Mytilus edulis: one gene and its partners. The main gene of each other region encodes a partner of the protein of the gene in region 2 in a complex. Links are inferred from orthologs where the notes say so. Each region holds a gene or a part of one and is shown on either strand. Other genes may lie near its edges.

Region 1 (11,273 bases), on a different chromosome or scaffold from region 2:
GACGGTGCTTTAGAACATGTTTGGTTTATACAGGTTTTCGGTTTATGCAGGATTCGGTTCAGCCAGGTTTCACTGTAGTTATTTTAAGTGTGCAGTAAAAGGATATGAGATCTTGTTGTGTGTCAGATCAAGTTCTTCTATATCAGATCCTTGTTTTATCAACTGTACTGGTATCTCTGTTAGACTCTGAAAAAATAGTAAATACTAGAACACACCCGTGATATTACGGGTCCGTGACTGAATTAAAGTATATAACTATGCGCAAGCCTTATTTTAGTATTAGTATTGTCATCTGATAAAGTCTAAAGTCATGCCGATTATAAGATACACAGTTTTTCTCTGCTTTCAAGTCTTTCTGTTTGAACCCGTCGAACTGAAACAATAATATTAATTATTTGGAAAACAAAAGGTCCTGAAATGGAGTATTTTTTAATCAAAAGCATTGTCCTATTTAAGTTATAAATAAAGTTGAATTCTTTCCTTCGCTGTTTTACGTCATGCCCACTAACAAATTGAAAACTGTACCTATACGACTTATTTTTAGTCCAGATTTTTAGTATTCGTATTGTTATCTTAGAAAGTCTTACTGATTAAAATACTACAATAGGTAACAATTTGACAATTTAGTAGTGTCAACCCTGTGGTTATGACCCGTGTATATAGCATATTAATCCTGAATACAACGTTTGGTGGTGCGCCTGTCAGATGCGGAACGTACAGATAAGGTAATAGGTAACAGGTGAATATACTATTGGTATCGGTAGCGGACTCGACCCGGAACTTCTTAATTATTGTTAATATTAATTACGTGGAAAACAAAAGGGCCTGGAGTGGTGTAATTTTTAATCTACACCTTTGTACTATATTAGTTATATATAAAGTTGAATTCTGTGATTCGTCGTTTTTACGTGATGACGGCTAACAAATTGGACCTCGTAATTTTAGTATTATAGATATTGGCATATAGAAATGTCCTTATGATACAGGAATTTCTTATAAATACTTGAAAAATTACACTATTTTACTATTTCTTATCATAAAGGGACGAAGTCCCGTTTTACACTGGAATTTTTTTTTTAAATGCCTAACAACAGAACCATTGCAAAATCGAAAACGTTAAAATATTCCATTTCTTTTTGGAAGTTAAATTATGTTTGAATTAAAATAATCAATTCATACAGACTTCGTCTCCTTTCACAGGTAATGCCTGCCTCCTATTAGAATTTGTTGTCAGATTAAAATTGATTTCACACAAAATTGTCTTAACCTTTTTAGCTATTTGAAGAATTTGGTCTTGATGAAAAATATTTGTTAAATTTATTCTCAACTTTTTCAGCTGGACGTAAAAACTGTTTTTCTTTTTTTTTTTTTTTTATAACTTTAATGTATTCCCTGAGATTTAATAGGTCATTACTCAGAGTAATCGATTTTTAGCGGTTGAGTAAAAGAGTTGTGTTTCATTGTATAAGCAATTAATGTGGATTCATTTATTTTTGTTGGTATCAATTTTCGTGGATTGAGGGAAACTGACACTTTCGTGGATATTTAATTTCATGGTTTTGCCAATGGCAACGGAAAATTTACAATTCGTTGAACATTAAAATTAGTGGTTTATCTGTACCTTTGAAATTCAGCTTAAACCTTTGTTCTTAAAACCTTGTGTACACAACAATGACATATTTCAAGTCAATAATAGCAATATAAAGAAATATCCAGAAAAATTGATGAACATACAAATGTATAAGGGAATTACAAACAAGCTTGTGTTGTCATCTTCTGTGTCATTTGGTCTCTGTTGGAGAGTTGTCACATTGGCAATCATACTCCTCTATTTTTTATATCTAGACTGCTAACCATCTAAAAACATACCTGGTATGCTAAACTGGTTCTTTTTTCTGACATCTTCATTTTATTCAATCCATATGTTCATTCATCACAAGGATCAGAAACATTTTCAATTTTCATCTGAAATAAATTAGGGTAAATGATTGTAGAATATAAAACCAGGGGTTAAAAAATTTTGTTACAGCTAACTAGCCCAGGACTTATTGGCAGCAGTATTTTACTAGCCCTGTTGGAAGAACTGCTAGTCCATCAAAACTGACCTGCTAGCCCTAGTATGCCTTTAAAATCAAGAGTTTGTGGCATAATACAAAGTGGGTGTCCGTTGTTTTGAAGGAGACATTATACACTGTATTTAATAATTTTTGTTGATCTGTTATTTATTCTTTTGGTGCTTAACCTAACTTAGTTGTTCCCACATTCAAAGCAGACTTTTTATTGGAGTGCTTGGGGCAACTAACGGCAATATTCACAGAGCATTGTCGGTTTTTTCATCAGCAACAGCCAACCTTGCCATGGGAATCATTGTGTCCCAGTTCTTCCAACCTTTCAGGAAGTGAATGCGTGATTTTGTGGCCAAATAGTTAAGATCAAAGAGAAAAAACAATAGATCAAAGGAAAATGCCACAAAATAAGCATGAACATGTGTGAGTCTCGCGCTAAAGACTTGACAGCCCTGCTGTCCTTGACACTATTATTTTTTTCCGCGGCTTTTCCCTATCGTATTTAGCATTTTTGGGGGATGAATTTTCAGCCTCGTTACTCCCTTCATCTACCGTTTTTCGTGTTGAAACTGACGAAGTTCCTGGGGTTCACGTACTAAAATATTAAGAAATATTTTGTTGCATGGTTTCGTGCTCAAGAGCTGTGCAACAAGACAGGTCAATACCAATCAATACATCATACCCCCAAATACCGTTAATTGAAAATCTCGGCACGATAAGGCAGCAACCATTTGATTTTCTGGGGGGGGGGGGCTATGTTTTTTTTTTGGAAAAAAAAGTTTGTTTCCAGGTTTTGGTGAAAAAAATAATTTGTTTTGGACCCTGAGTACAAAAAATTGTTTGTTTCACCCTCAGCTGCCACTATATGTAATGCTGAAATTGAAAGAAAAAAATAGATTGTTCTACGCCGAAGGCGAAAAAAAAAGTTTGCACAGAAAAAAAAACCATAGCCCCCCCCCCCCCCAGAAAATCAAATGGTTGCTGCCTAAGCAATGTACAATACCCCGAGCCATGATATGAGAAATCGATATTTAAAGTACGAGAATTGCAATCAACACATGATACCAGACCACCCAGACATGCCAGAGTTATTTCTTCCAGTTTTAAAATATGTACAACAGGACCTGTACAAACCAGCTCAAATTCTTGGAATCCTGGCTGACTTAATTGAATCGAAATGGCTAACATAAAATAGTGATGAAAGGATTTTTCACTTTCTATTTTGGAAACGTCAATATTTTTTGTTACTAGTCCGTCGGGCATATCGAATTACACATTTTAATTGCCTGAGGCGTAAATGATCTAGTCCCGGGCGTCGGGCTAGTGGAATTTTTAACCCCTGAAAACAGACATCATGGACATTGCTATTAGGGGGGAGGATAGGACCTTTTTAGTATAGGTGTTTTTAAGCTCGGGATTTTGGGATTGATCCTTTCGGGATCTGGGAATTCTTTTTTTCAAATTTTGGGATGTCAGGATGTCGGGATTTAAATTTCTTTAAATTCAGGACCTCAGGATTTCATGTTTTTAAGCCCGAGATTTCAGGATCAGGACCCCTTCGTACCCCGTCATATTATGAATTAAACATGATTCCGATTTTCCAGTTTTCAGTTTTAAATGCAGGATTTTGAGATGGCTATTTAAACTCTTCAGCATTTTTTATGATTTTACCAACATGACCAAAAACGCAAATTACAGGATATTAAAAACATGGTACATGTACATTGTAATAATCTGAATTTTTTTTGTTTGCATCTAGCTGTGACCTAATAGTGTAAGGATTTTTGAAAATTATAATCAATTCATAAGAATACTTGTATTAAAAGTCAAACTGTATGATTTTTTTTCTAAATTTTAATTGAAAATGAAACCGTGACCATTATTTGAAAATTTTTCAATTTTTCATTATAACATGTGTAATTTGTTTATAAATGATCTGAACATCATAGCTGCATAGCTATAATCATAATAATACTGCTGTTGATTTTTTCTTTTCTTTTTTTTGGGGGGGAGGGGTTAGGGGGGGGGGGGGTTGGTGGGAGGGCAGATATTTTGAAACATAAAATGCAGGATATACGTGAAAGTAAATGATTGTGCATACATATGCATAGCAATAGATCAAAACAATTTTTTATGCATTGATAGTTCTATTATATAATATCAGTCTTCACGCTTAACCCCAAGTCCTACGGCAGTGGGTATGAGAGCACAATTATTTCGTAGTGCATTTCTTTTAGAACATAAATGAAAATAAAAAAAATCCCATTTTACACTGTGTTGTACTACTTTTGGGACAAATTATATCAAAATTATAGAAAACTTCATCGGCTCTAACTCAAAATATGGACAATTTTATCTTTAGGGCGTCTTGAAATCTTTTGACAGCTTTCCTTTAAAATTCTGGGCCCAAATTTTTTTACAGTGTAATTTCACCCCCCTACTTGCAATTTGAGGCATTAAACATGGAGAAATAAATTTGGAAGGGGTATAAAAATTAATGGCAGGTAATCCACTGTCAACACTAGGGACTATTCATATTCGTGAACAACGAAAATCAAGGGACGACAATTGTGGTCTTGGACCTAATAGGATAGAAAGAGTTGACTAATCTTTAAAAAACTTGGTATGACCAAAGCATGCAAAGCTTAATAAATTATAACACTGCTTACAAAGTTTCATGACAATAGGATGTATATTATAGACAATAAGTTAAGTTCTATATTTATCTTTGCGTGTAAAATTTTGACGTTAAAATTGAATAATTTCAACTATCAACATTTGGGGCTTCAAAAATTAAAATATTGCAAAAAAATACTTTTTAAATGCCTTAATATATAACCTATCATGTACTTAAAGCAATAGAGTACTCATTTGATTTATCAGACTTGGCATAATTATTCAAAAGTCAAATTTATATGAGCCTGAGCCTAAAAATTGAGGTTTTTCAATGAAGGGGCCTTACATGAAGATGTAATATTTTCCAGCCATTTTAAATTTTTGAAGCTTTTTGGTTATAAATAATCCTTACATATGTATTGAAAGTACTTTAAATGGAAAGAAGAGTTACAAATAACATATCATATTAGTTTAAAAGGGTCTTAGGCCAAGTAAGACTGGAAAAAATTTAGGGTCAATTTAGGCTGTACCTCATATCTACATTAAAAAATGCATATGGAGGCTGTAAGAAATAAAAATTTGTGTCTTTTTTATCATTTCTATACTCATGTGACATGATACAACAAATCTGAGCACAAAAAGACTCTTGCAATTAACTTTTCTTACAAACTTCATCGTCTCTAACTCAAAATATGGACAATTTTATCTTTAGGGCGTCTTGAAAATCTTTTGACAGCTTCCGAAGTGCTATTTTTCAACCTTTTTCACCTGGACCAAATCACTACTTTCCTTTAATATTCTGGACGACAATTGTGGTCTCAGACCTAATGAGAGATTTTGTAAATTTTGCGCAGGAAAAATTGAAAATGAGATACATTTCTTGATTTAATGTCCGCAATATAACAAAATTAGATCTAAATATAAAATTAATGATACATGTATCATCAAAATAACTTGTTAAATATATCACAGGCATTGGCAAAGAAGTCATTACTAATTGTTTTGGTTATTTCAGATATTTTTATCAGAGCCGGCAAAATAGCTATATTATACTGCAATCAGCTATTTTACTATACAGATAAAGCTATACGTATAAACTTTAGCTTTATACGTCAATGACCTCAACTCACCTATAAGCCCCGCCTACTTACGACGTCACGTCACAACCATGACAACGTATAGTAACAATGGTCAAACTTTTATGAATTTAAACTTGTTATGTCTTCAAATTGGTAATTTCTATACCATGATTTATCAAATATTATTAATTAGAGTTAATTTTCCCTTTCTTTTTCCTTAAAATGTCAATTTTGTACCGCCTGGAATACGCTCAAAGGGAAATACCCCAAAATGGTACCCCAAGAGGGAAATTTTAAACATTTTTTTTAACAATATTTGTTTCATATTTTTATTATTTTTTAAATTTTTTATCGATTTCAGTTTAAAAACAATATACGTATAGTGTCTTGAAATATGAAAATTATTTGTATTCGGTAGAACCTCGCATTTCCCCCGTTTCTAAGCCTCATACACAAATAAATTTCATATTTCAAGACACTATACATATATTGTCTAACTATACAACATCATGAACATGTACAAATTACAAGTACAGCATTTATTATTGCTGTAATTCAAACCTCTATCAGAGACATATAATACATATATGTATATATGTCTCTGCCTCTATATATATCTAGCGCTATTTCTAAAGCTTCTAATTATCAAATACGTACTTAAGGTGTTAATTGTTGCGTAAACAATATTTGAATTGAATTACTGTGTCAATCAACTTAATTTCAATGATTGTCTTTCAAGTTGAGCTGTCTACCATTTTGAACAAATTTAATGTCACATGATTTACATTGTTTACATGTCGTACGTGCGTTTTAAACAACGGACGAAAGAATAGTCCTTTAATATTTCCACGAACACTGATCACATTAAGCATGGCTGTCGAAATCGAGCAAAGAGAGTAAGTGATTCTATTTGTTTGTGATTTCATCAATGCAATGTTGCATTTGACTATTTATATAACGCATAGGGACCAGTGTACATTGAATTTTAACATCGTACACTCTTTTGTTTCCATCTTGTAGTCATGTCATTAAGATAAACATTAACTACAGCTTCAGTTTTTAGATATTTCCCTATAAAAGTTCTACAATCCAGCTCATATAAATGAGCACCTGCAATGGTACACTCCAATCATGATGAATAATATGAGGCAGGCATTACCTGTGAATAAGGACGAAACTGTACGATTTTTTTTTTTTGTAACACATATTTGTTAAAAAAAAGAAACGGAAAAACAGTAACGTTTTCGATTTTGGTTCTGTTGTTAGGGATTTTACTTGTGACTTTATTTAAGTTATGACGTCATGTTCGATGTAAACAAAGAAACACAATGTATCAGGTAACGTTTTTACATTCATATCAAAGACAAATAATTATTAATTATTAAAAATGAAATATTGGTATTGTGTTCCTTGAGTTCCTATATTTTACTAGACTACTCAAAGTCTCAAGTGCTACAACGAGACCGGAAGGAGGCAGTAGATTTTTGCGTTATGCGCAAATTAAAAAAAAGCGACAAAAAAAAAATTTGAACGATTTTGAGTTCATAAGTACATTGAAAATTTCATGAAATTTTCCAGATTTTTAATTTTTTTTTTTTTTTATTGATTTTTCTTCTAAAATAAGCTCTATTTAGAGTCATCATAGTATACAAACAAGGACATACTATAGTGTGCTTTAACCTACATGTACATTTGACAGCTCATTGTTACTTTTGTACATGTCTTCTTCTTCCTGTAAGCGGCCACTGTCAACTGGTTGACTATTCTGCCACATTTTAGAGTGAGTGCATGCAATATTTTTGAAATTTAATAAACAAAAAGAATGGGTGCAATTTAAAAACATGTCATTTAAATCTTATGACGAAGCTGAGCCTTGAAAGATTCAGGACTTGGGGCGCAGACAGTAGATTTTGGCAATTTTTATTAGGTTAATAATAATAATAATGTGGCACTTTTTGCATTTTTTGTTTGGTTGTTCTTCTTCCTGGTACAGGAATTCGAATTTGAAAGACTCTGGTGTTGGAAGGTGGAATATCGCGGTTCTTAGTTACCCTACTGCAGATGCCTACTGGTCTCCAGGTTTGGACCTTAAATTTTGTATGTTTATCACAGACCAAAATTTATTGTATGGAAAACTTTCTGGCAGACTTTTGCTTCATGCATTTTTCTGTAAATTTCCTTAATAGTCACAATGCTCATAATGGACCTTGGAGGTCAAGTTGTCTAACTATAAGTAGCTACTACTGTAATCACTAGCCAGTCAACACTGAGGTTATTAGTTGGAACCCCGCGTCTACTGTTGCACTCAATTCCAATCTTAATTGTCAGTTTTCCTATCAAAGATCCGACCATGGTTTTCTCCAGGCACTCCAGCTCCATCCACAAATATAAAATGGCAGCCACGAAATAGCCCAAAAGCAGTGCTTAAAAGTGGCAAAGAAAATCAAATCACAATGCTTATGTTATTTTAAATTATTTTTTCAGTGTTGTTCGTCTGATTGAGCAGTATCTCAAGGAAAACAATTTACTACGGACACTTACAGTTCTACAAGAAGAGAGTGGGACATCATTGAATACTGTTGATTCTGTAGATGGGTTTGTCTCCGACATCAACAGTGGTCACTGGGACAGTGTGCTCCAAGCCATACAGACACTAAAACTCCCTGATCAGAAACTTATAGATTTATATGAACAGGTGAGGTCTAAGCTCAAAATAATGGTAGTAGGGCTAATGTGCTACAAGATACTTCCAACAAACTAATAAAATAACTTACAGCGGATTCCATGGAGTGTGTAGCCAAAGGTAATTTTTTTAGTTAGCTTGCTTGTTAGCTGAGCCGTGAAGTCATTGTTAGGTTAGGTAAACAAACTACCCTACTTTAGAAGAAATAGACTAGTCCGACAGAAACCAATCGATCTGTCTGTTGGACTATGCTACTTCGAAAGGAGGGTAGTATACACTGGTAGACCTATTTGGCAAATGACCGCGATTTTTGGCAAATCTCCGCGGAACGGATAATAAATAGAGGTTCATCGTAAATTTTTCGTTTTACAGTATATTTTGCGGTTCTCCGGAGATTTTCCGTGTCTCAGGGAATTATCCGCGTGTCTCAGGGAATTATCCGTGTGTCTCAGGGAATTATCCGTTTGTCCGATTAAACTGGTGTGTATTGAGTCAGTGATAGAACCAGTGATGCGTGAGCGACGGTTATTAATAGATCGTTGTATAATCCGTTATCTGTGAGCAACGGTTATTAATAGATCGTTGTGATTATATACACTGTTTACAGTCAGATAAAAATAACCGTCTTATTACCCTTTTCAGTCGAGAAATAAAAAGCGGTGGTTTTGATATTAAAGTTACTTGCAATTTAAATATCGAATTTAGTTTAATAAAGAATAATCTATTTAATTGTGACCAATGAACAGGAAAATGCACGTGGTAACTTTGCAATACTACTACAAATATGTTCACCTTACAAAATTCTTCTTTATTGTCATGTTAAGATAAATCAGTTCCTGTAAAAACAGTAAAAACAGAGTCTTAATTACTGCAGATGCCGTAATCCGACATAATGTCATACTGATTTGACACCTGTCTAGTGTGAGTAACACCTGCTGTGATATTTTTGCAATACAACATGGACAAGCGGAAGGTCGTAAATCAATCTGTTGATCCGAATTTAACTTTACCTGTACTGATAAAATTGAGAAAGGAAATGGTGAATATGTCAAAGCGACAACCACCCGACCATAGAGCAAACAACAGCCGAAGGCAACCAATGGGTCTTCAATGTAGCGAGAATTCCCCCACCCGTAGGTGTCCTTCAGCTGGCCCCTAAAATATGCATAATAGTACAGTGATAATGGACGTCATAATAAACTCTGAATTATACACAAGAAACTAAAAATTAAAATCATACAAGACTAACAAAGGCCAGAGGCTCCTGACTTGGGACAGGCGCAAAATTGCGGCGGGGTTAAACATGTTTATGAGATCTCAACCCTCCCCCTATACCTCTAGCCAATGTAGAAAAGTAAAAGAATAACAATACGCACATTAAAATTCAGTTCAAGAGAAGTCCGAGTCTGATGTCAAAAGATGTAACAAAAGAAAATAAATAAAATGACAATAATACATAAATAACAACAGACTACTAGCAGTTAACTGACATGCCAGCTCCAGACCTCAATTAAACTGATTGAAAGATTATGTCTTCATCATATGAATATCAGGTACAATCCCTCCCGTTAGGGGTTTAGTATCATACTATCATAAAATATATGAGAAGAACATAACCCGATATTTATATATGAGAAGAACATAACCCGATATTTATTTATGGAGGATATCATAGATACATTTAATAAATTGTATAGTATTCAATGGAGATAATTTAAATACACAATATAATTTATTAAGACATATTTTCAGGTATACATTGAACAAGTTTTCTCCAACCAAGAATTAAGGTTTGATATTGAATGCTTTTTTTTGTTTTTTTTTTTTTTTTTTTATCAAACTTCGATCTTATCAGTCAACGAGTAATTCGTTTATAGTTACACATTGTTACTCTTCTAACGTCTTTTTCTTTGTGCTATTAAAAAAAAACTCACAATTTTCCACATCAGATCGACATTTATATATATATATGAATACTGGAAATCTTTTTTTCCGTCCGACACCACGCTCCCCACAAGAGCCCCAAGATATAATCATACCTGTCAATCACTAGCCGCAAGTTGAACATTTTGGCCAGCCTTCCTCGTGCTTTCAATTATGACATCGTTGCGAATTGATTTTTTTTAAATTGACATGTGAAAAGAATAAAGTGATGGGAAGTTTATTTTATGACCTATCAGAACTTCTTGTGATTCTAATAAGATTTTTCTTAGGCCGCATTATTTTCTAACAAGAATTTTGTAAACGTTGTGTCGCGTGTGTTACTGTTTTCTAAACGATACACGAGTAGAAACAAATACATCGTTTGATAAATCTTTAATGACCCTGTTTGAATTGTCAATAATGCATGCACATGTTGTTGGTAATCAGACTTTTTTACAAAACGTAGAAACAAATACTTCGTTTAATCAGGTTGAAGTTAGAAACAAATGCAGTGTTTGTACTAACAAACGACAAACTGTAGACGCATTTTTAGTGTTTGCATAGTTTGTCAAAGTTTATGTAAACTTTGCAAACGTATGTGTTTGAAAAAAATGATCAAATCATGTGCGAGCTTAGCCGTTTGCATCGTTTGTGTTAGAAAGAAATGCATCTTTAATGAGTCTGAATCCGTAACCGTCAAAATAGCATGCTTTACAAAAAGATCAGCCAATTCAAGCGTTTCTTTACACAAAGATGATTTTATGTACGTCATACATTACATGTAAATTAAACATTTATTTAAGTAAATTTTTTTCGTATCTATCTTTTTCGTATCTATCAATTTGGTTACAGGGTTTATGCAAGTAAGTTGTACCGTGTGGTGCGTTTTCAGATTCATTTCTCAAC
Region 2 (11,188 bases):
CCTACTGTATTAAACAATATTTATTACCTTTTGGTGTTTTGAAACGATCCCCTACTGTATTAAACAATATATTCCCTTTTGGTGTTTTGAATCAATCCCCTACTGTATTAAACAATATATTACCTTTTGGTGTTTTGAATCAATCCCCTACTGTATTAAACAATATATTACCTTTTGGTGTTTTGAATCAATCCCCTACTGTATTAAACAATATATTACCTATTGATGTTTTGAATCAATCCCCTACTGTATTAAACAATATATTACCTTTTGGTGTTTTGAATCAATCCCCTACTGTATTAAACAATATATTACCTATTGATGTTTTGAATCAATCCCCTACTGTATTAAACAATATATTACCTTTTGGTGTTTTGAATCAATCCCCTACTGTATTAAACAATATATTACCTATTGATGTTTTGAATCAATCCCCTACTGTATTAAACAATATATTACCTATTGATGTTTTGACTCAATCCCCTACTGTATTTAAACAATATATTACCTTTTGGTGTTTTGAATCAATCCCCTACTGTATTAAACAATATATTACCTTTTGGTGTTTTGAATCAATCCCCTACTGTATTAAACAATATATTACCTTTTGGTGTTTTGAATCAATCCCCTACTGTATTAAACAATATATTACCTATTGATGTTTTGAATCAATCCCCTACTGTATTAAACAATATATTCCCTTTTGGTGTTTTGAATCAATCCCCTACTGTATTAAACAATATATTACCTTTTGGTGTTTTGAATCAATCCCCTACTGTATTAAACAATATATTACCTTTTGGTGTTTTGAAACGATCCCCTCCTTTATCAAATTGCATAGAAACAGCTTTATCCTTCTGTTTAGGATCATATGAGCCAACAGGAGGTGCACAACCTATAAAATACATACAGATCATTTTAGTCATTCAATAAATATATATTTCAACTCGTTTTTCTTATTTCATCCATTTAGAGCAGTAAGTACGGAGTGAGTTGTGGATGATTATAAGACACTCATTCCAATTAATAATTGAAGGGGGACTATATTCAGGTCCTTTACTGAGAAATAATTACCACTCTCAGTCATGAACGATGGGGACATAAATGTATTCAGAATTACTGCAATTTCATGAGGTAGGTGTATTGTCACTAATATTGACATCTTTATACACTTTGCTATAATTAAACACATATTTAAAAGTATGTTAATGTGTGTGAAAAAAAATCAGGATTTTGATCATAGCTGGTCTGTTTCCAATGAATCCTTTAATACTATGATCCATAGTTCTTACAAGTTACAAATATTTCAATGATGGACTAAGAAAATTTACAAAAATAAACTATGTTTGGCACGCAATTTGGAAAGGAATAAGACATATTTAATGCAATAAATGGATTACAAATTTATTTCAGGAAACTTTCATCACTTTCTAATGCAGTAACAACTTTATTTTTATTTTGCTGAGTGTTGAAATGATTGTTGATTTACACTCACGAGTCTCGCTGAAGTGATTAAAAATGTCTTCATGTAATGACATGCAAATAATTAGGTCAATGCTTCGTTGTGGTTGTTGCACTTTGATCAACAAAAACCCCAATCTCGGTCCAGATAATGCAAAAGGGCACATGGCATCAAATTTTAAGAAGAAAAAGAAAAAAAGGCAATGGTGTTGCGCCATGCTAAATTGCTTTAGATAAAACATGTTGATAAAATCACTGTTACGACAAAATTATGTGTATATGCTGAGTCTGTTTCTGAATCTATTTTTAACATAACTTTTGATTTTTTAACCCTGTATACCACCATACCCCCTGTAAAATTATAAAAAAATTTAATAAACCTTAAATGACAAAATTTCTTTTTATTTGACGTTTACATTTTCTGATGTCAGTCAGGGGTACTACTTGTACAAGTGTATTTTATTTACTTGAAGAAGTAAAAAAAAATATACACATATAAGTAAATTTGTAGGATACTTATACAAGTGAATTTTATTTACTTGTATAGGTAAAAAAAAATTGGCTGAGTTATGTCCCTTCCGCATCCAGATTTTTTTACTTGTATAGGTAAAAAAATCATCCTTTCTTCTTTTCTTGAATTCTGCAGATTTCTTTGCTCTAATAGAATTTTAAATTGTGTACCCTTTACAGATGTCTTTACTAATCATTCAAGTGTGATTTCATAGACAATGAAAGTCCCATTTGTCTGTTATCTTCTTAACACTGCTCATTTACAAGCCCCAAAGGAGCAATTTTGTATTGCCTTGCGCAAATATACAAGATCTTTGCTCAATCAGTTTCTTTGATGAATTAATGAGATGAAACATTGAACTTTAATGAAAAAATTTGAGCAAACCTGGGAAAAATTATTAAAGGCATGATTTTACATCTCAAAACTTGAGGATTTTTGTGGGATTGTAAGAAAAATTTACTTGTACAAGTAAATTTTTCAGAAAATTAAGGGGAGATTATTCAAACATTATTTATTTACTTATATGTGTATATTTTTTTTCACTTCTTCAAGTAAATAAAATACACTTGTATAAGTAGTACCCCTGACTGGATGTCAGACACGCGAAGCAATGAATGTGTGTTTTTTTTTAATTTGATAGATACTTTTGTGCTTTTTTGTAAATGTTTGTTTGTTTTGAGATAATGTAACCAAGTGATGACCGCTGTACCCATATTTTGACTATTTCACATATTATATCTGTTTTGTTCACACATCGTTGTAAATATAACAGAATTTGATGTGACTGTCATACAAGTGAGAAGTTTAGCGCTATAAAACCAGTTTTAATCCACCATTTTCTACATTTGAAAATGCCTACATACCAAGTCAGGAATATGACTGTTCTTGTCCATTATTTTGATGTGTTTTGTCATTTAATTAGGGACCTTCCAATTAAATTTGAGTTCAGTATTTTTGTGATTTTACCTTTGACAACACCACCGAGAAGGTCCTCTGAATTATGCGTTAAACTGGTTTATTTCTTCAGATACCTGTATACACACATTGCCTATTGTAAACATGAAGCAAAACACCAGAGATGGTAAAAAAATTTAATAGGACTATGCAATATAAATACAGGCACCCTACTAGCAAGATAAGACCAAGAAAGTACTGAAGATTATAAATGGTGTATATCTGCTGTCATTGGTCTTTTTTGGTGTGAAACAAAATATTGCTTTGCATACAAATGACAAAATGAACCACGATCAGATATACGCTTTACAATAAACAATTCGTTTAGGTATGACTATGAAGCGAAAATAGTGATGGTAGTATTTGTCACTGGAGTTGTGATTAAAATTTATAAAAAACACAATTATTAAGCCAAAGGGCCAATATGCATGGAGTTGTTTAATCCACATATGAGGATAAAAACCAATTTAATCATTGTAATTGTAAACCTTAACCCTTTTTTGATCAGAGCCCTGATTTTGTATATATAGGTACCGAATTGACTAAACTTTTTATTTTTGCATAATAAGAGGGTGGTAAAGGGTTATTTTCGTCCGTTTTTTTATTTCACGTTCAACGTGTTTTTACTTTTTTATTTGACCTTCAGTTGTGCAAGATGGGTGCCACTTATAACGTGTTCTGCTTATTTAATTTTATGTGCATCGTGATTTTCAAAGTCTTATTTTGCGTGCTACGTGCATCGTGATTTTCAAAGTCTTATTTTGCGTGCTACGTGCATCGTGATTTTCAAAGTCTTATTTTGCGTGCTCGGAAATTTTTCAAATAAAATTCAAACACTTGGCAGGGATCGTCAAGAAATACTTTTTTAAAAGCTGTAAACCAATTATATCATAAATGTGTATACTAAATCTGGAATATCAAGTAAAACAAAGAGTAAACAGGGATCTCCATGGATGAAAATTGAACGATGGAGGAACTTTCACCATTACAAACCGTGTCTACGCTGTACAGTGTAGCGCGATCGGAAGTATTTTATCCTTCCATACAAGGAATGGTGAACATGCTAATTCATTGCTTATTTAAATTATATTTATTTGAATTTTCATTATAGAATTAGAAGTATCAATATTTTCATTTATTGCCGTTTTTAACCATTCAAATGCCAAGTCTTCATGGTCCCCCTTAGTCAAGAATGACCAAAAGCTGTCATGAAGGTCCCCATGTAGATTTTTTGTATTTTTGGTAATTGTTATGGGGTTAAAAATCATATGATGTGGAGCTTTTTTTTCATGGACACTGTCAAATTCAGAACCCATTACCGGTATGGCTGATTTGCAGCAACAACAAAACGATTTGTACGGGTTATGTAAAAGGTTAAAGAGATTTGTAAAGCAAACGTTGAAAAATGAAAAGGTTTTTAATGACTTACTCTGGCAAATTGATGCTGTGCAACATGCATCTTTCGAGTCTGAATAGAAACCGGAAACGCGGATGTATCAATTTGATTGTAATATACGAAATGAATTTGGAATTACGATACGATATTTCTTTACAGGAAATATTTAAGTTTTTACTTTTAAACTTTTAAAGTAATTCTAAATTATCGTTACAGCAGTACTCGAGTTATTTGCAATGAAATAATATTTACTGTTTTGGGTCTTATTTTGTACTTCTTAAAAAAGGGGGATGCTGATTGCGTAAGTCAAAATAAAGCACTTGTTCGACTTGTTAAACTGTTTCCTCTGTAACTGGATTATTAATTAATTTATTTAATCTAAATTATCATAATCATTTGCTGAAACTTAGTTGATTAATTCGACAAATAGATCGTCTATCCAAGATAGTATTCTCCTGTCTGGTTTGTTGATCTACCTGTACAAGCTCAGCGATCTTAATCCGGATATCCCTCAGGCGTTAGAACTGTATTGGATTATAACATAAAAAGCCTAAGGGCTATGCAATTACATGCATTTGATTATAATTGATAAACAAAATGGCGTCGGGCTACAAAAAAACGACGAAGTTTTGAACGATGGCGGAAGACAATTAACGATGGTGCAAGACAATTTAACAATGGCACGAGTCATTTGACGATGGCAGGGCGCCATCGTTAAACAGGCCATGGAGATCCCTGAGTTAATATATACAAGAAGACAGTGACTCAGTCACAAATAAAAGTATTTATTTTTCATGCAACGTTCATTACAGAAATTATTTCACGTTCAACGTGAAATTATGTCTTATTTCACGTTTTTTTTTTCGTGCAAGCACCACCCCTTTACCACCCTCTAATAAGGATAAAGCCATAATAATTTGGCATTAACCAGTTGATGATCATTACTGAATATTGAATCTTTATTTTCACCCACCTGTCTTTTCGTTAAAGCGTTTAAATGGTGCTTTTGAAAAGGCCATAATGATGATTTTTTTTTCTATAACTGATACTTTGTCATTAGATATGTAGGAATATTCAACAGTTATCTATACAGATATGCACAAGGACCGCCAGATTTTCGAATTTCTTCTTTCACTTTTCCGCTTTGACCAATGAAATTTGTTTCCGGAAGTAGAAGTAAAATTAACTCGCATGATTTTGACGGATTATTTTTTCCGGATAAGAAAAAAATAAGACACATTTGAATATCTATTCTTTGAATTAAAATAAAGTCAGATAAAGCATAAAGCAATTTCGAATGCTTTTTTATGCATATATCTTGATACAGTTATAATAAAGCGTAGAATATTTAAACAATTTGGCTATAAATAAACCCGGATAATTTACGGAACAGTCCTACTTTTGTTTTAGATTTTAGGCACTGCATTATTTTTATTTTGCTCATTCTTTTCCATTTCTCCATTGCAGTTGCAAAGATGCCAGAAAGTAAGTTTGTTTCCCACAAACACACATGAAATAAGCACACATAAGATCTGTAAATCATTTATTTACAATTTTAGACTGTATTATCAAAATTCATGTATTTTTGATAAATTCTCTTTTTGTTTTCTGATGATAATGAAAGAGATTTTCTATTTTGTCTAGAGATATGAGAGTAATGTCATTTCATTTCCTATGTTACGTATGTGTTATCTGATGAAGAATGACTGTCTTAAAGATGTCATATATATATATTTGTTAAAACCTGTGTGACGGGATTGCTTCCCTTGGAACATGTATAGTGGTACTTGTAAAATCCTTTTTAGACTTTTATCCACGGAGAGAGAAGAGCGCTGTTGTTATGGGCGGTGTTCTTGTAGAGCAGTCTTAAATGTCTCTACAAAACCTGCATCCACAACTTTATCTGGTAGTTGGTTTCAGTGAATAGTTGTTTTCACAAAAAAATGAATGTTTAACTTTATCAGTGCTCTAGCTAGAAATCAAAAGGGGCAGGGTGCCAGTGGAGGGCAGGGCACTTTTTATGATAAGAAAAGGCACTGCTCATTTTTTTGTCTAAGTTTCTGTGTGTATCACGAGTTAACGAATCTCTTTGTTTTTTTTATTGTACTATAGTCTTTATTTCATTGTTTGTGTAGTTATGATTGATATAGTACATCTTCATCAACATATTATGTTTTTACAGTCATGACAGTTCAACTTCACTCTACCAATTATCAAAGAATATGTGTTTTTTTTTTTTTTTTTTTTTTTTTTTTTTTTTTTTTTTTTTATCTATATAGGAATTATAGCTTTGAATACATCATATGAACTGAAACAGAGAGCATTACTAATTTAACAATGTTTAGAACATGGATTGCTAAAAGTATAATTATCAAATAGAAATTGCAATATATATTTTTTAATATGTTCAGACAGTTAATATCTTTAAGATAACATGATTATGTTATTATATATTCAATTGGTAATTTATTCCCTTTTTTGGTACTAGATAATATTTTTAGAGCACAAATTTGTAATAAGCTAAAACAGGGGAAGTAACTCCAAAATCAATTTCCACCACGTTTGGGTTAATTAAAAACTGTGCTTGTCGCTAACAAGTTGAGATGGAAGGCATTTCTGTAAAGGCATAGTTTTATTTTGATGACTTAAATTCAATTCTAAAGTCATGAAAGTCTTCATTTATATACGCTCTTCCATTGTGACTTGGAGATCGAAAATGCCGACCCAAGCTAAACACACTCGCTGACACATTCATCAGAAGTATGACAAAAAGATACATTGTCCTAATTAAATTACCTAGTTATTAACACCTTTGAAGTCTTTATCATTGTAATTGATTGTAATAATTAAAATGATTAACCTGGGGGCAATCACACAGGTGTCATATATGTAATTAACTTGGAGATCAGAAATCGATGAAACAAAATTTTACCAAAACGGAACAAGATAATTTTGGAAAAAGACGTCAGGGCAGAAGGGCGCGGATGAAGGCACCCAGGGCGCAGCTGAGGGCACCCAGGGCGCGGCGCCCTTCTATTTTGGGCTAGCGAGACCACTGTTTATACTGTGGTTTGTTGCTATTTGGTACTTTAATATTCTGGTGTTATTGATAACTTGACATTCAATGATATTGTCAGTTTCACAGTTAAAATATGTTTTGGCTTTGATAGTTCGTTTAGGTTGTGCTGGTATGACAAAATTCTCGCTGGTAGAGCCAGCACCAGACCCTAAACCACCTTGTTAATCAGGATAAGATGGAGGCTGTGTCTTCTTTCCTCTAGTGTCTCCATTTTGAGCTGGTGTCTCATATTAGTTATAGACCCTGTTTCCTGTAATTTTTCTAAATGAATCGTATGCCTCTGTTTTGGATAAGTTCTAGTTTGTCAATATCCCCTTTCATATATATGGGTTTTAGATTCTTGCACCATATTCCATTGTTGATCTTACTAGGGATATGTATGTTACTTTCCTACATGGCTCTGGTACATTCCTCTGAAAGTTCCTCTTAAGGAAGCCCAAGGTTGTGTTGACTTTCTTACTGATGTTGTTTATGTGGATACTCCATTTCAGATCGTTTGAGATTTGGAGTCCTAAGTATGGGTTCACTTGTACCTCTTGTAGGATGTGTTTATTAAGCATATAGAATTTGTCTACTTTTTTGTTTATGGATAGGACATATAGCACTTTTTGGCATTGAAACACATCCCCCATTTGTCATGTGTTAAATACTTAGTCAGCCGTAAGTGGTTGAGCTAAGGAAAGTTCTTTAGCTCAGTTGGTTAACAAGCTGCCTTGTAACACAGAGGTCCCAGGTTCAAAACCCAGTGGAGACATGTGATTTTGCAAGAAAAATCATGCTCTCCAGTATAATAATAATAATTTTTAAAAATGATACGGCTGCATGGTAATTAACATTTCTGACATCCTTTTCAAAATAGCTGATCTTAAAGGGTATCAGGTCTGTTCACCTAATTACTTGTTCGCCATTACCCCTTAGTTTGTTTGCCCATTGAGTTTGTTCGCCATGGGTACCTTCCTCCTACTTTTTAAAAAGAAATATCAATATTAAGGGCATACAGTGACGATACAACATGTACAAATTTAATAAACCTATTCAGATATTCATATGGTATACATGTATATTCTTGGAATTTATGAAAACACATGTTGTATGGAAAGCTTGTTCAATGACATAATAATTTTCCCTTATTGTTGAAATACTTGTCTTTGATGGATTAATGATAAAACAACATTTTCAAATTTGTTTTGATAAACAAGGATTTTCAATTTCCTTTATTATTTCATATAGCCTAGGTGGTCGAGTGGTCTTAGGCACTGGACACTGAAAGTTGTGGGTACCAATTTTCATGGATTAAGGAAAAATTGTATAATCATGGAAATTTGATTTCATGGTTTTGCCAAAGTCTGCTTGCAAGCATATAGCATGTATAGAAAACTTGTATTTTGTTGAACATTTCATTCATGGATCACCTTTGCCCACGAAATCCCTGAAAATTGATATCCCATGTATAATAATGAATTCATGGTTACTAATTTTTAATACAGAAAATATTTCAACTTGAACTAAACAGATCTAGATATGACTTAAACTTTCAAATTAGATAAAAATTGCCTCTAGAAAATCATTTTAATGTTTGTATATTTTAGAAGCCTCTAGATAGTCTAAGATCATTTTAATGTTTGTATATTTTAGAAGGAGATTCTGAGGTTTTCTCAAATCCACTTCCTCCAGAAAATCATCACTATAGCGATGATGAGGATGAAGGGTAAGTTTTATATGATTTAAAATAACTTTTTATAGAAATAAACTCTCACTGTCATACCGATACATAATCCTATTAATAAGCTGTCAAAATTCTTTCAAATATTTTTATATGACTATCAAACTGCTATCAAATAACAGGCCCAACATACATAACATATCCAGATGATATTTGAAAAATAGTTTCTAAAATTGTCATGATTGTAATTCGGCAAATATGGTGAAATTATGTCAAATAACCAGGAAATACCATATTGTTCTACTTGTCTAAAGAGATTTTCTCTTGTTTTTTTATGGATTCTTATTTTTTGTTTGATGTTTAAAAAAAAAAATTAAATCAATTTTGATTATCATGTTAAGTTACAGGGTCAGTAATATATTATATATTATAATTATTTATTACAATGTATATTTAGACATCCACTGACCAATGATGACTTTAGGAAAATGATGATGACCCCCCGGGGGCCAGGACCAGCAGCAAAACAACAACATCATCATCAACAGAATCAACAACATCAGCAGCATTCATCTGTCCCTAAGAAACACTCAAGTAGTAGTAGTAATACAATATTGTAAGTATTCAGGAACTATGACGATATTATTGGTATGTAAATAAGGATGTTGTATGATTGCCAATGAGGCAACTATCCCCAGAGTTAAAATGAAGAGTTAGAGACCAACTGCCACTGTTCTACAATATTAATCTGATCATAATAAAAACAGCACCATTACTCTATTGTAAGACCTCTGTAACTAGGACATCTAGTTTAAGAACACACTAGTAATATATGAAAAAAGCCTGAAGAAGCTTAATACATGGTTATTGCATAGACTTGTTAAAAGTGCTCTGAGCATTGTCTTTTTCAAAATCCTTGATCCACAAATGTACTGAGCCCATTATGATTCCATATCTACATATAATCATCAGCTGGCAGACATGTCACCAGTTAGAACTAGTTTTATATTAGAAACTTTGTTGTGGAAGTTATAAAAAACAAACTGAAAAGACATGGACAAAAACAATAAAAGACAAACAGCAATGCACTAAATACATAAAGATTCATAAGTCTGAAAATTATACATAAATTGTTTTGTTCCATTATTGAACAGAATATGTGATTTAAAAACAACCAAGATTACAGTTTAATCTAAAGACATAGAAACCATTGTTAACCTAACTGACCCAATTTTTCTGGGGTTTTAGTTGATTTTTGTTCATCATTGAATTTATTTTCCAGAGAATTACCCAAAGACAATGAGGATGATGATGCAGGCACCAGAAGAAGGAAAAAGAAAATGTAAGATTCAGTATTCACCAGTAGTAAATTAACACCTAATAAGAAAGTTGATTTATGATTATCTGAAATATATTTGAGGTGATGTTTGTGCTATGATTTATCAATCATATATAATTGATTTTGTACTGATTAAATGTACATAGACACCATACATTTTGTATATGTTTCATATTTAAATCCTGTAGGCAGACTTGGGGTCAATTACATTGGAATGTAATTAATTAAATTACACATTACATTGCAAAAATGGTCAATTACACTAATTACACATTACACAGTTTTTGAAATGTAATTAATTAAATTACAATTACTTTACTAAAGTAATTAATTAAATTACACATTACATTTTATCATGATATTTTTTAACAATATTTTACATGTTTATATAATGCATGTGTAAAATATTCAAGTAAGCATAGTTAAAGCCTTGCATTTGATAAACATTTAATATAGTTATTTTAATGTTTTGTCAAATAGTCTGAATATCTAGTCTAAAGTAATTAATTAAATTACACATTACATTTCATCATAATATTTGTTAACCAATATTATACATGTATGTATAATGTATGTGTAAAATATTCATGTAAACATAGTTTAAGCGTTGCATTTGATAATCATGAGTAATTTTAATGTTTTGTCATTTAGTCTGCATCTCTCTGGTCTGTACACTTTGACAGCCATTCTCAAAAGTATTTCTATAGGACCTAGCTAATGTGGCATACATCGCTTGGTTAGAACATGGAGGTATTATACTTCCATAATCTGTAGATGTGGTGATA
Region 3 (11,807 bases), about 34 Mb from region 2:
CAATCAATCAATCAAACATTGAAGAAACTTCCATAAATAGTTTACATTTACCACTAAACATTATCATATATAATAAATCAGCTTACTGTACTCTGTACAATATTAGAGGTCTTGGCCACAGCATCCTTCAGACTTGACATTCCCCATGATGAGAACCATCCTCCTCCCCCTCCTGAAGCTGTATCCTCTTTAGCCTCTTCAGCTTTCTCTGTCTTCTTATCATCACTTCCTTCTTCTGCTTTCTTCTCTTCACCTAAATTAAAATATTGGTCAAATATCTCTAATTACAATTACTTTTTATTTTTACCAAATGATTCTTCATATAAAAAAACAAACTTGATGAAAAATACTGTTTTTAATATCTAATTCCAATTTTTATGATTCGAGAAAAAATATTAACTTACATATTATACATGTTATACATGTAAATTATCAGGTAATGTGTCGAGCTACAGAAGAGGGGAAGAGGTTGGCCAATCTATTCTAATGTTTTGTAGTGATAACCTCAATTTCAGGACCTCTCATTTCAATTATTTTGCTTTATGAAGATAACCATGTATATATTCATATGTATTCTATCTCAGTGTGAATGTTTTGTCTCTCAGTATCAAAATCCTTCAAATAGTTAAGGGATGATTTAAGTGCTCATAATAAAATGTAATATACAAAGAATAATTTCTATATCTAAGATCATTATTACTTTGCTTCTTACACATCTACATATGCTTTATTGCCTCTGAGTTAAATTAGGCTTACACAATTTATGTGACGAAAAAGCTAAAAGATTCCTATATATTTTCCAACTTCTAAACAATGTTACCAACAAGTATAAATATGAATATTCATATTTTGGTTTTATAACAGTTGCCATACCTGGTTCTACATGTTTTGGCTGCTCTGTAATTTCTTTTGAAGCTGATTCAGCAGGCTTCATTGTATGAGCCACATCATGAGATTCCAAGGCTTCGTCTTCCTTTTTATCAGTTTTCATGTAAGCCAGTTGTTCTGGTGGTATAGCACCCAATGTATTCTCCATTGTATCCATTATTGTACTGAACCCTTCTCCTGAAATATAAGCCCTTTAATTTAAATAACTTATTCAACAATTACAATGTTATATACATACTAAGTGTACAATGTTCACAACATAGGAAGAAGTTACTATAAGATAGGAAACGTTGAGGGTAAATGCTGTTGAATTGACTTGGATTATAAAGTGCACCTGGGAGACTACATTTTTATGACCTACAAAGTGACTCAGTACACATCTTTGCATTTTTAGCTATGATCTAAGTTTTCTAGCATATGTATGTACAAATCATATTTCATTGTTACCATGATTATACAAAAAAGAAATCTGTGGTAAATGTGACAGCAACAAACTAGAGGCTCTAAAGAGCCTGTGTCGTTCACCTTGGTCTATGTGCTTATATTAAACAAAGGACACAGATGGATTCATGACAAAATTGTGTTTTGCTGATAGTGATGTGTTTGTAGATCTTACTTTACTGAACATTCTTGGTACTTACAATTTTCTCTATCTATAATAAACTTGGACCTTTAGATACAGTGAAAAATATTTTGTAAAAATTTACAAAAATTTACCAAATTAGTGAAAATTGTTAAAAATTGAATAAAATGGGCAACAACTCCTTAAGGGGTCAACTGACAATTTTGGTCATGTTGACTTATTTCTAGATCTTATTTAGCTGAACATTATTGCTGTTTACAAGTTATCTCTATCTATAACAATATTCAAGATAATAACCAAAAACAGCAAAATTTCCTTAAAATTACTAATTCAGGGGCAGCAACCCAACAACAGGTTATCCGATTTATCTGAAAATTTCAAGGCAGATAGATCTTGACCTGTTACACAATTTTACCCCGTCAGATTTGCTCTAAATGCTTTGGTTTTTGAGTTATAAGCCCAAAACTGCATTTTACCCCTATGTTCTATTTTTAGCCATGGCGGCCATCTTAGATGGTTGGCCGGGTCACCGGACACATTTTTTAAACAAAATACCCCAATGATGATTTTGGCCAAGTTTGGTGTAATTTGGCCAAGTAGTTTCAGAGGAGAAGATGTAAAAGATTACTAAGATTTACGAAAAATGGTTAAAAATTGACTATTAAGGGCAATAACTCCTAAAGGGGTCAACTGACCATTTCGGTCATGTTGACTTATTTGTAAATCTTTTTTTGCTGAACATTATTGCTGTTTACAGTTTATCTTTATCTATAATAATATTCAAGATAATAACCAAAAACAGCAAAATTTCATTAAAATTACTTATTCTGGGGCAGCAACCCAAAACCGGGTTGTCCAATTCATCTGAAAATTTCAGGGCAGGTAGATCTTGACCTGATAAACAAATTTACCTCATGTCAGATTTACTCTTAATGCTTTGGTTTTTGAGTTATAAGCCAAAAACTGCATTTTACTCAAGGTTCTATTTTTAGCCATGGCGGCCATCTTGATTGGATGGCTGGGTCACTGGACACATTTTTCAAACTACATACCCCAAAGATGGTTGTGGCCAAGTTTGGATTGATTTGGCCAAGTAGTTTCAGAGGAGAAGATTTTTGTAAAAGATTACTAAGATTTACGAAAAATGGTTAAAAATTGACTATAAAGGGCAATAACTCCTAAAGGGGTCAACTGACCATTTCGGTCATGTTGACTTATTTGTAAATATTACTTTGCTGAACATTATTGCTGTTTACAGTTTATCTCTATCTATAATAATATTCAAGATAATAACCAAAAACAGCAAAATTTCCTTAAAATTACTAATTCAGGGGCAGCAACCCAACAACAGGTTATCCTATTTATCTGAAAATTTCAGGGCAGATAGATCTTGACCTGTTACACAAGTTTACCCCTTGTCAGATTTGCTCTAAATGCTTTGGTTTTTGAGTTATAAGCCAAAAACTGCATTTTACCCCTATGTTCTATTTTTAGCCATGGCGGCCATCTTGGATGGTTGGCCTGGTCACCGGACACATTTTTTAAACTAGATACCCCAATGATGATTTTGGCCAAGTTTGGTGTAATTTGGCCCAGTAGTTTCAGAGGAGAAGATTTTTGTAAAAGTTAACGACGCCGGACGACGACAGACGACGGACGACAAGTGATGGGAAAAGCTCACTTGGCCCTTTGGGCCAGGTGAGCTAAAAATGCATGTTAAATAACAGACAATTCAAGTATCAAAAGATTGAAAAGTTCCCACACCAAATGATAAGCTCTTGTAAAATCAATGAAATAAAAATTTCAACACTCGATCATTTTTTTTATAGTGCTAAGTTGATGAGTGAGAGGAGATATAATTTTAAATAGATTCAGAGGTGTCTATTTACAACAATGATTGCTGTAGACACCTCTGAATATTCATACAAGTACTCTTTGTAAGAATCTCAAATAAAATATTTGAATTTGAATTTGAATTTGAATCTCGAGTGTTTTTTTAGGTGCCTTGCAAAATTAAACTAAACAAATTAATAATGTACAGGTGAAAATACACATATGAAAACAACTTTCTACAAGTATTTTTGTCCAATAGATCTCAATATTGACATTGTGAAACTTTTCCGGAGTAAATATGTAACTAAATGAGTTATCTCCCCATAGATTTACAAATGCTTGCAATACACTTTTAATTTTCAAGATTGAAAAATAACAAATGAATATGTTTTATTAATGTCTCAAGGCAAAGATATGTTAGTGGAGCCAGTAAACAGGTATTTATGACCATAAAATCACCAATTGATGTCGTCGAAGCTTAAAATACAATATTGTAATCTCCATTCTAATGAAACTGATAGAAAACAATGTTAAAACATACATTTAAAATCTGTAATATGTCGTCTGCGCTTGCGTACGTTTTCATAGCATCAATTAATATTGTGATTTAATGACATGAAAATTAGCAACCTTATCCAATCAAAATGAATGTTAAACACAATGTTGCATTAGAGTGATGTTTGACAGGTGATCCTCTGATTCTTTGAAATACATTTTATCATGTCTGTACCAATTAGACCGATTTATCTATGATACTAACCAACTTGATTTGTAAATGTTGAAACTGATGTCTGTGCTACATTCATGATACTAGAACCCCATCCTCCAATATTCCAACTACTAGACTGTAATAAAATAAAGTACAGTGAATGTCTGCCTTTACTTACATATATATAATTATGTAAATGTACATGTATGTATTAAAAAGTAATGATAATGATATCGTAATGTTTCAGTTTGGTACAGGTCCATACAAGAATGAACAGTGTTGTAAATTGAAAGAATCATATACATTTTTTTTTAATTGTATTTTGAAATAAATTAAAGCATACATTTTTGTACTTTCCACCCTCTTGGCCAAACAAGGAGCAAACATATTTTGTCTATAATAATTCATTAGAAATCCATTGACCTGTTTCCTTAAGGCCTGTTGAATGCAGTTACAAGAGGTGATTTGTCCTTAAGAAGTTAAGATTGATTAATAAATGATTAATAGCCAGTGGCAAATATTTAAAGCATATTCAGGAGTACAAATAGTATTTCAACCAAATACATAGTTTCTGCAAAATTCTGCTTACCTTAGGGCCATGGTCAACAGCATTCAATAATTAACTGCGGGTTAACACTAGATGATCATGAAGGACCTGACTGCATTGTTAACAAAAAAAGATTTAAAAGGGGCTGCTGTTTTGCCTTGCAACAGCTAACCTACCAGATGTACATGTATTTACTGACTTTTCAAAGAGCTAGTGCAAGGATTCTTAAACATGTTAAATATGCATGTACAATGTACAACATCGATGCACATGATGTAAGGAGCACATAATTGCTTGATGATTATGATGATAGAAGAGACATTTTTTTATACTGTTTAAGTAACAATAACCTTTTGATCTTCTTCTTCCTCTTCTTCTTCTTCATCATCGTCATCATCTGCTAGTTGATCCAGAACAGATTTAATGTCTGGCTTTTCTGATCCTTCTCCAGATCCTTCCCTCTGTATGTTCTGCCCAGAAGGTGACTTAACAATGCTTTCTGTTTTTTCAGAAACATTTGTACTGTCTGTTGACAGCTCTTTATCATTTTCTGGTGCCTTCTTTTCTTCAACTTGTGTGGTATCTGTTTTTTTCTCTTCCTGGTTTTCTATGTCAGATGTTTTACTTTCTGTCTTCTCTTCCTCTTTTACTATTACTTCACTCTCAGGCTTTTTACTTTCTGTTTCTTTCGCTTCATGTTTTTCAGTACTCTTATTATTTTTTTTGGCCTGTTTTCCCTTTTTCTTTCCTTTTCCAGTTGCTCCTTTCTGTTGTGGTACTTCAGGATTTTTTGTTTTGTCAATAGCCTCTTTATCACTTTTAGGATTAGTTTTTGAAGCTTGTTTCGGGTTGTCTCCCTTTCCTACAGACTTTGTTGCTTTATCTGTATCAGGCTTAGTAGATTTATCTCCCTTTGGTGGACTTTGCTTTGTTTCTTCTCCTTCATCAGCACTGGCAAATGCAGCATCATCTTCTGAATCTGACATTTTATCTACAAAAGCATGAAAAAGTATAAATGAACAGTTAGAAGCTTAGAAGAGGTTAGAAGTCAATTAAAGGAAATGAGAAATATTAACTTACTTTTCTGATCCTCTTGTGATTATTATTTAGTATTTTTGACTGTGTTAAAGTAGTAAGGGATTGCATTTTTTATTAGTTCATTCTATGACAATTAAATATTCATGTACAAATCTTCGTCAAAGGCCAACTTTTTTACCGTTCATCTTTAATATTATTATAAAACTAATGAACATTTACATGATTTATGAATTATTTTTATACATTATAAATATTCTTTTGAATCAACTTGGGAAGGAACTACTTTGGACAGATCAAATAGGAATGGAACAACTTGAAATTGATCGACTTGGCACAAATAGACTTGGGGCCAGATCGACAAAAAAGCTTGGTGGTACAGGGCTAGGAACAGTTAAACAAATGGTCAGATTATTTGTTTTCATGAGTCATTTGCAATTTGTACTATGAACGCTTTTTCAATGGAAATTGTGACGTCATAATCCCGGTCCATTCTTAACCCTCTCGCTGCTGGAGGGACACATATAACCATTTTCAAATTTATGCAAACTTCTCATCATCATGAACATTGATGTACATTTTGTATCTCTTTCAAGAAAAAGGCTGATGATTAAACAGTGCATTATTTTTTCTTCAATGGCTCCAAAATATAACGGTTATCTTTTTCTTGCGCCCACCAGTAGTGTTGAGTATTGGTAAAGTTTGACAGTTCAACGTAAAAATTATTATGTAGACTGTATATTGAACAGATATATCATGTTAAGGAGGGGTATTTGCGAAAAATACCAGTCGAGAGAATGTTAAATTTCACGAGCCGTAAGGCGAGGGAAATTCATTCTCAAGACTGGTATTTTTCGCAAATACCCCTCAATAACATGATATATCTGTTTAATTACACCGAATGTTAATGTACTAAAACGCATTGATGATCGTGACGTTACAAGCGTCCAGTCGGATAGAGTATTTTTGGCAAATACCACGGCAGAGAGGGTAAAAAAGGCATATCCTTTTAGCAAATATGCCGGCGGCGTAAAAAATGAACAATATTCATTTGATAACAGTAAATTGGTGAAAAATACACTGGCTATTAACCAATCAAAACCCCGGATTCTTACATAAGGTGTAATTATAATTATTATATGACGTTATATATCAAACATGTCAAATGAAGTCATTGTTGAGCATGTACATGTGACGTCACAGATGTTGAGCTGCCGTATTTTCTTGTAAATGAAATGAAATACTACCAGCAGTAAGAGGGTAAATAGAAGGAAAACCCATAAGGTGAGGATAATATATTTTTGTTTGTGACAATAGTCAATACAAAAGTCAGGACTGTCTATTTCAAGTACAACCATTAATAATTAAAATATGATCTAATGAGAGAAAGGAAATTAAAAAAAGAAAAAGTAGATTAAATTGCTAAATTATCAAAATCATGCAAATGATGGCATGGCAAATCTGTAATCAACAGATCAACCCCTCAAAATTTGGCATTTTTCCAAGTGTAAGGATTGTTTATCAACAATCAAACACTTCTCCCTCTCAGACAAAAATAGTCCATTTCATGCAAAACTTACCAAAACTCTGCTTGTCAAACGTATGCAAATGGAAAATCGAACTATAATAAATTTCGTCACTCCAGCCACGTCGATTTGTTTTGCATTTTTTTAAGCTTTCGGGTCATTGAGCAACTTGAAATAAATAGGAGCTAACTGTCATTTTAAAACGCATGAGAAACTTAGATGGAAGTGCATGGATTTGAGTTTTCGGAGTTTTCCATAGACAATAAGAAGAAACCCGAGAGCGAAGGCTATTTGATTGTTTACAAATTTATAAATTAATATTATTGAGGATACTTTAAAGAACAATGGCAGAGGTTACAAGAATACGACAAATTAAGAATGAATCCAGCTCTTTCCCTTTTAAGTGTCTTCTTTGTAAATCGTAAAGACACAATAAACCCCCCCTTTTCTCTTTATATTCATGGTCCTACTACTGGTGCTTTTGCTTAGATAATGTGATGTTCCAAAGCATAGAACTATACTTCACAATGTCCCATGACACGTATCCCACCTGAATGACCAATTAAACCTAGCAGTTTATTAAAAATTGGAATTTCGATGATGGAAAACTTTCAGAAATAGACAGTCAGAGCTCAGACATGAATAAGTCTGAATCTGCTTTTGACTCATAGAGGTCTAGATTTGTAAGTTTTAGGATTAGTCTCCCTTTAATGCAAGACAAAATATGACTTTAATAAGTCAAATATTGTTAAGCAAGAAATAACTGTACAGAATCAAAAAGTTGCAAATATCGACTCCTACAAGTCGATAAGTGATCAAAATTGGTTAGCTTAAAGACCCACGCAAATTTATAAGGAGGTCATGCATCTAAATCAAATAATGACAACATTCAAAGACAATGCTTTGTCTTCTAAGGAAAAATATGAATGAGAGTCTAAAAAATCGGAGATAATGTTAATTAACCTTACAATGCAACCACCTGGAACTACACTTAATGAGGAAAAACATCTGTGTTTAGTAAGGATGTTCAATAAGACAATTACATATAGATAGCTCAAGTCCTTGTGAACACTCAGACAGGTTTTTGCTGTCATAGGTTGTGTAGTTTGGCCACCAAGTGAAATTAGTTTTTTCATCAACATAAATAGACCTAAACAAGTCTGTCATTTTATGGCTTAGATAAGTCTAAAATTGAAAACACATTTTTATGATAAATACATGTTTTGACTTCTTTAAGTCAAAAACAAAAATAGACTTGTTTATGTCTGAGCTCTGACTGATAGACACAGGCACTTGTTTCTATCCATTGGAAGACCCTCTATCCAAGTAAATATACGTGGATAGAGGGTCTTCCAATTGAAAGAAACAAGTGCCTGTGGAAATAGACCACTTTCGAGTTTATCCTTCACTGGAAAAAACTCGTCAATTATGCGCCCCATTATGACATCATTTATCAGATAGAGGGGATCGCCTGTATCCCTGCACTATGAACTCTTGTGCTATGCCTATTTTGGGTGTTTTTAATTAGTTTGAGAAATGTACTAGTTTCTGGATTGTATTTTCTGTTAAGTATCTTGTAGGTCTCAATTATGTCCCCTCAGAACATTCTATATTGGCAGCTTAAGTTTCTTCAATCTTTCCGGATAACTGAATTTGTTGGATCCAGGTATCTGGCCTGTCGGCCTTTTTTGTACATTTTTAATTTTGCCAAAGAATTTCTTTTTGAAGGGAGCCTATACTGAACTAGCATAGTCTAAGTGTGTTTTCCCTTATGTTTTATGAAGATCTTTGCATTTAAATTTATATTCTTCTTATTGCCGCAAACATTGAGTTAGCTTTGTTTAATTTTTCCCATATATGTGTTTTTCAAAGGTTTATAGATATATTTGCTTTAATGCGAGGGATATTTCCCTGTTGTTCTAGAGAAGAAACAGTCTGTTTTCATGTTTTTTAGGGAAACAATTACCTGTGATCTAATGACTATGTATTAATTTTCCAGAGTTCTTTAATTTAACTTCATGTACATTCATTAATTTATAGAGAATTTATTATACAAACCCTACCTTCAAGTGATGATATATCTGAGCCTTGAATATGATATGATATACATTTTTATCATATTATCTACATCTTTTATATTAATAAGTAAATTTATATCCACATGAAAGATCATTACTTAAATGTTTATTTTTTTCTTCAGAAACCAACACCCGGTGATCACAGACGAAAGTGGGACAAGGATGAGTATGAAAAAATTGCTAAAGTTCGATTGGAAGAAGAAGAAAGGAAACTTCTTGAAAAAGAGTTAAAAGAGCCACCTATCAAAAGAGAACTATTAAAACCTAGAGAATATAAAGTATGTTAAACAAGGTTACATTTGATCGAAATTAATATATTCAGAAATAGAGAAAAAAAATCTTATGATTAAATATCTTTGTGTAAATCTGTCAAAAGGGAATATACAGTTTTAAGCCATGACAAGACATTACTATGCAGTTGTGGAAGAAAGAGCAGATACTGAAGAGGGACTTTGAGTAAAATTCCCTGGGATAATGGTTTATAAAACCAAATATATAAACACCAGTCTTTTTTTTGTCAGTCAAAATAGACTGCTAAATAAAACTGATTAATTTATATAAATATTTAAGCAGCATCTTTATTAAGTGCCAAGCCACTCTGCCTAAGAATCTGAGGCAGTGGTCAAACGTGACAAACAAAAACCCGGCTCAACTTGACATTAATTTAAGATCAAAACGTACATATATAACCATGGTAACAGTGCATGCATATTACATTTGTTTCCTGTAATTCAAGATATAATTTGGTTAAAATGCACTGGAAATTAACAACTAAGGGGAGATAACTCCATAATTTGCTTTCATTCTTTACCAAAAGTTATCTAGAGATTTCTCAAAATAATAGACACACAGAAACAAAACAATCTACCATTTATAACTCCATGAACTCAGGATAAGGGAAACTTCATAATAGGATGGGTAGGTTGGTAAGGTTTTTTTCTGTCTTGTTTTGAAAATTGTCTAAATTGCCTGATTATTACAAAGACTGGCACTTAAACATTTGTGTAGAATAGGTTGTAACATTTACAATTACTAAGATGTGACTTAGCACACATCTATTTACAAACTGACAAGTAAGTGTCGCTTTGTCTTCATATACATGTATAAGATCGTATGTTAAATTTTTATAGCTGTTCTAATTACTGTATCTGTTGTTCTTGTTTTAGGTTGATCTCGATTCTAAATTAGGAAAATCTCAGGTTATCACAAAGCAAACACCTCAGTCAGGACAAGGAGGGTAAGATAACATTTTATTTATCTATTATTAGTCTAAGATTTTAGAGTAGATGTTTAATTATGTAAGGAGGGGCCTAGTGGTCAAAGTAGTTCATCTACATAAATCACTAGCTTGTCTACACTGAAGTAGTGAGTTCCAAAACCACCCAGGGTAGGTTTGTTTTACTCCTATCTGGATTGACAAGGATTGCCATTTTCCTGCTAAAGATTGGTGATTTTTCTCTGCATACTTCAGCCTCCTCGACCAATAAAAACTGACTGTAACGACATACTGAGTGCAATGCCAACAATCAACGGTGAACCAATCAATTTATTGTTTGGAATATGAACTCATGACATGTACCTTATTGAGAACTATATTATCAGTTGAAATGATATCAATTACATTTATATTCAAGTAGAAATAAGTAGATGTGGTATTAGAACCAATGAATTAACTCTCCATCCAAGTCAAAAGTTTAAAAAGTAAACCATTGTGGGTCAAAGTACAGCCTTCAACATGGAGCTTTGGCTCACACTGAAAACAAGAAGCTATAAAGGACCCCAGAATTGACTAGTGTAAAACAAGTTAAACAGGAAAACCAACAGTCTAAACTATCTTAAAAAAAACAGAAATGAGAAACACTTATGAACCACATTAACAATCCACAAACCCTGAACAATAGTTTCCTGACTTTTGGACATTTGCAAACAAATGTGGTTTTAAACGTTTTAACAGGCACCAACTAAAATATATTGAAATTAGAGAAATTGTATGTTCGAAAAATAAATTACAACATGATACATGATACTATATCACTTACAAAAAATTAATGGTATAGGTCAAAATTTGTATCCTTAAAATCAATAGAGAACTTGTACATATTATTTTATTCTCGTTCACCATAACACAAGTCTTAACATAGTTTTGTACAGATGAAGCCAAAATCAATCTCTGTGTAATGTCATAAACATAAATTAAAATAACATCATAGAATAAAACAGAGATGGAAAGTTATTATTTTTTTAATATTTTGATGATTCTAAATTCATTAGAATAGATTTCCTTCACCTTGTCTGTCCCATTGTTAAGTTTCTGATGCTGCATTACCTTAGATTGACTGTAATATTTTTTGTTATTTCAGGTATTATTGCAATGTCTGTGATTGTGTTGTTAAAGACTCTATTAATTTCCTTGATCACATTAATGGAAAGAAACGTAAGTTTGTATATAAATTTTTCTCCTTTGCTCTCAAACAAAAAATATTCAGGAGCCAGTTGTGAATAAGATAAACAGCTAGTATTTTTAGCATTTTCAAAATGTTAGAGATTTTTCTGCAAATAAATGGAATTCATTGCAAGGTTTACCAAATTATATTTTTTTTATCCTCAG

What was found.
Region 1: protein Red-like (region 2) and WD40 repeat-containing protein SMU1 share a complex: the UniProt entries of both Homo sapiens proteins name them as parts of the spliceosome B complex. The link is inferred for Mytilus edulis from reciprocal best matches to the Homo sapiens genes IK and SMU1.
Region 3: protein Red-like (region 2) and zinc finger matrin-type protein 2-like share a complex: the UniProt entries of both Homo sapiens proteins name them as parts of the spliceosome B complex. The link is inferred for Mytilus edulis from reciprocal best matches to the Homo sapiens genes IK and ZMAT2.

What each region holds. Positions count from the first base shown.
Region 1 is NC_092354.1:21,758,861-21,770,133, reverse strand, and holds the start of WD40 repeat-containing protein SMU1, read left to right. Parts: upstream 1-6,532; 5' UTR 6,533-6,631; coding exon 6,632-6,657; intron 6,658-8,245; coding exon 8,246-8,456; intron 8,457-11,273. Other genes in the region: leucine-rich melanocyte differentiation-associated protein-like, read right to left, coding at 108-186, 1,870-1,908. UniProt on the Homo sapiens protein: Involved in pre-mRNA splicing as a component of the spliceosome. Regulates alternative splicing of the HSPG2 pre-mRNA. Required for normal accumulation of IK.
Region 2 is NC_092351.1:651,464-662,651, reverse strand, and holds the start of protein Red-like, read left to right. Parts: upstream 1-5,669; 5' UTR 5,670-5,797; coding exon 5,798-5,807; intron 5,808-9,036; coding exon 9,037-9,109; intron 9,110-9,521; coding exon 9,522-9,680; intron 9,681-10,346; coding exon 10,347-10,406; intron 10,407-11,188. Other genes in the region: hyaluronan mediated motility receptor-like, read right to left, coding at 797-895, 5,296-5,341. UniProt on the Homo sapiens protein: Involved in pre-mRNA splicing as a component of the spliceosome. Auxiliary spliceosomal protein that regulates selection of alternative splice sites in a small set of target pre-mRNA species. Required for normal mitotic cell cycle progression.
Region 3 is NC_092351.1:34,542,988-34,554,794, forward strand, and holds the start of zinc finger matrin-type protein 2-like, read left to right. Parts: upstream 1-7,335; 5' UTR 7,336-7,465; coding exon 7,466-7,474; intron 7,475-9,321; coding exon 9,322-9,477; intron 9,478-10,365; coding exon 10,366-10,436; intron 10,437-11,559; coding exon 11,560-11,633; intron 11,634-11,807. Other genes in the region: protein FAM114A2-like, read right to left, coding at 87-253, 874-1,065, 4,065-4,149, 4,911-5,546. UniProt on the Homo sapiens protein: Involved in pre-mRNA splicing as a component of the spliceosome.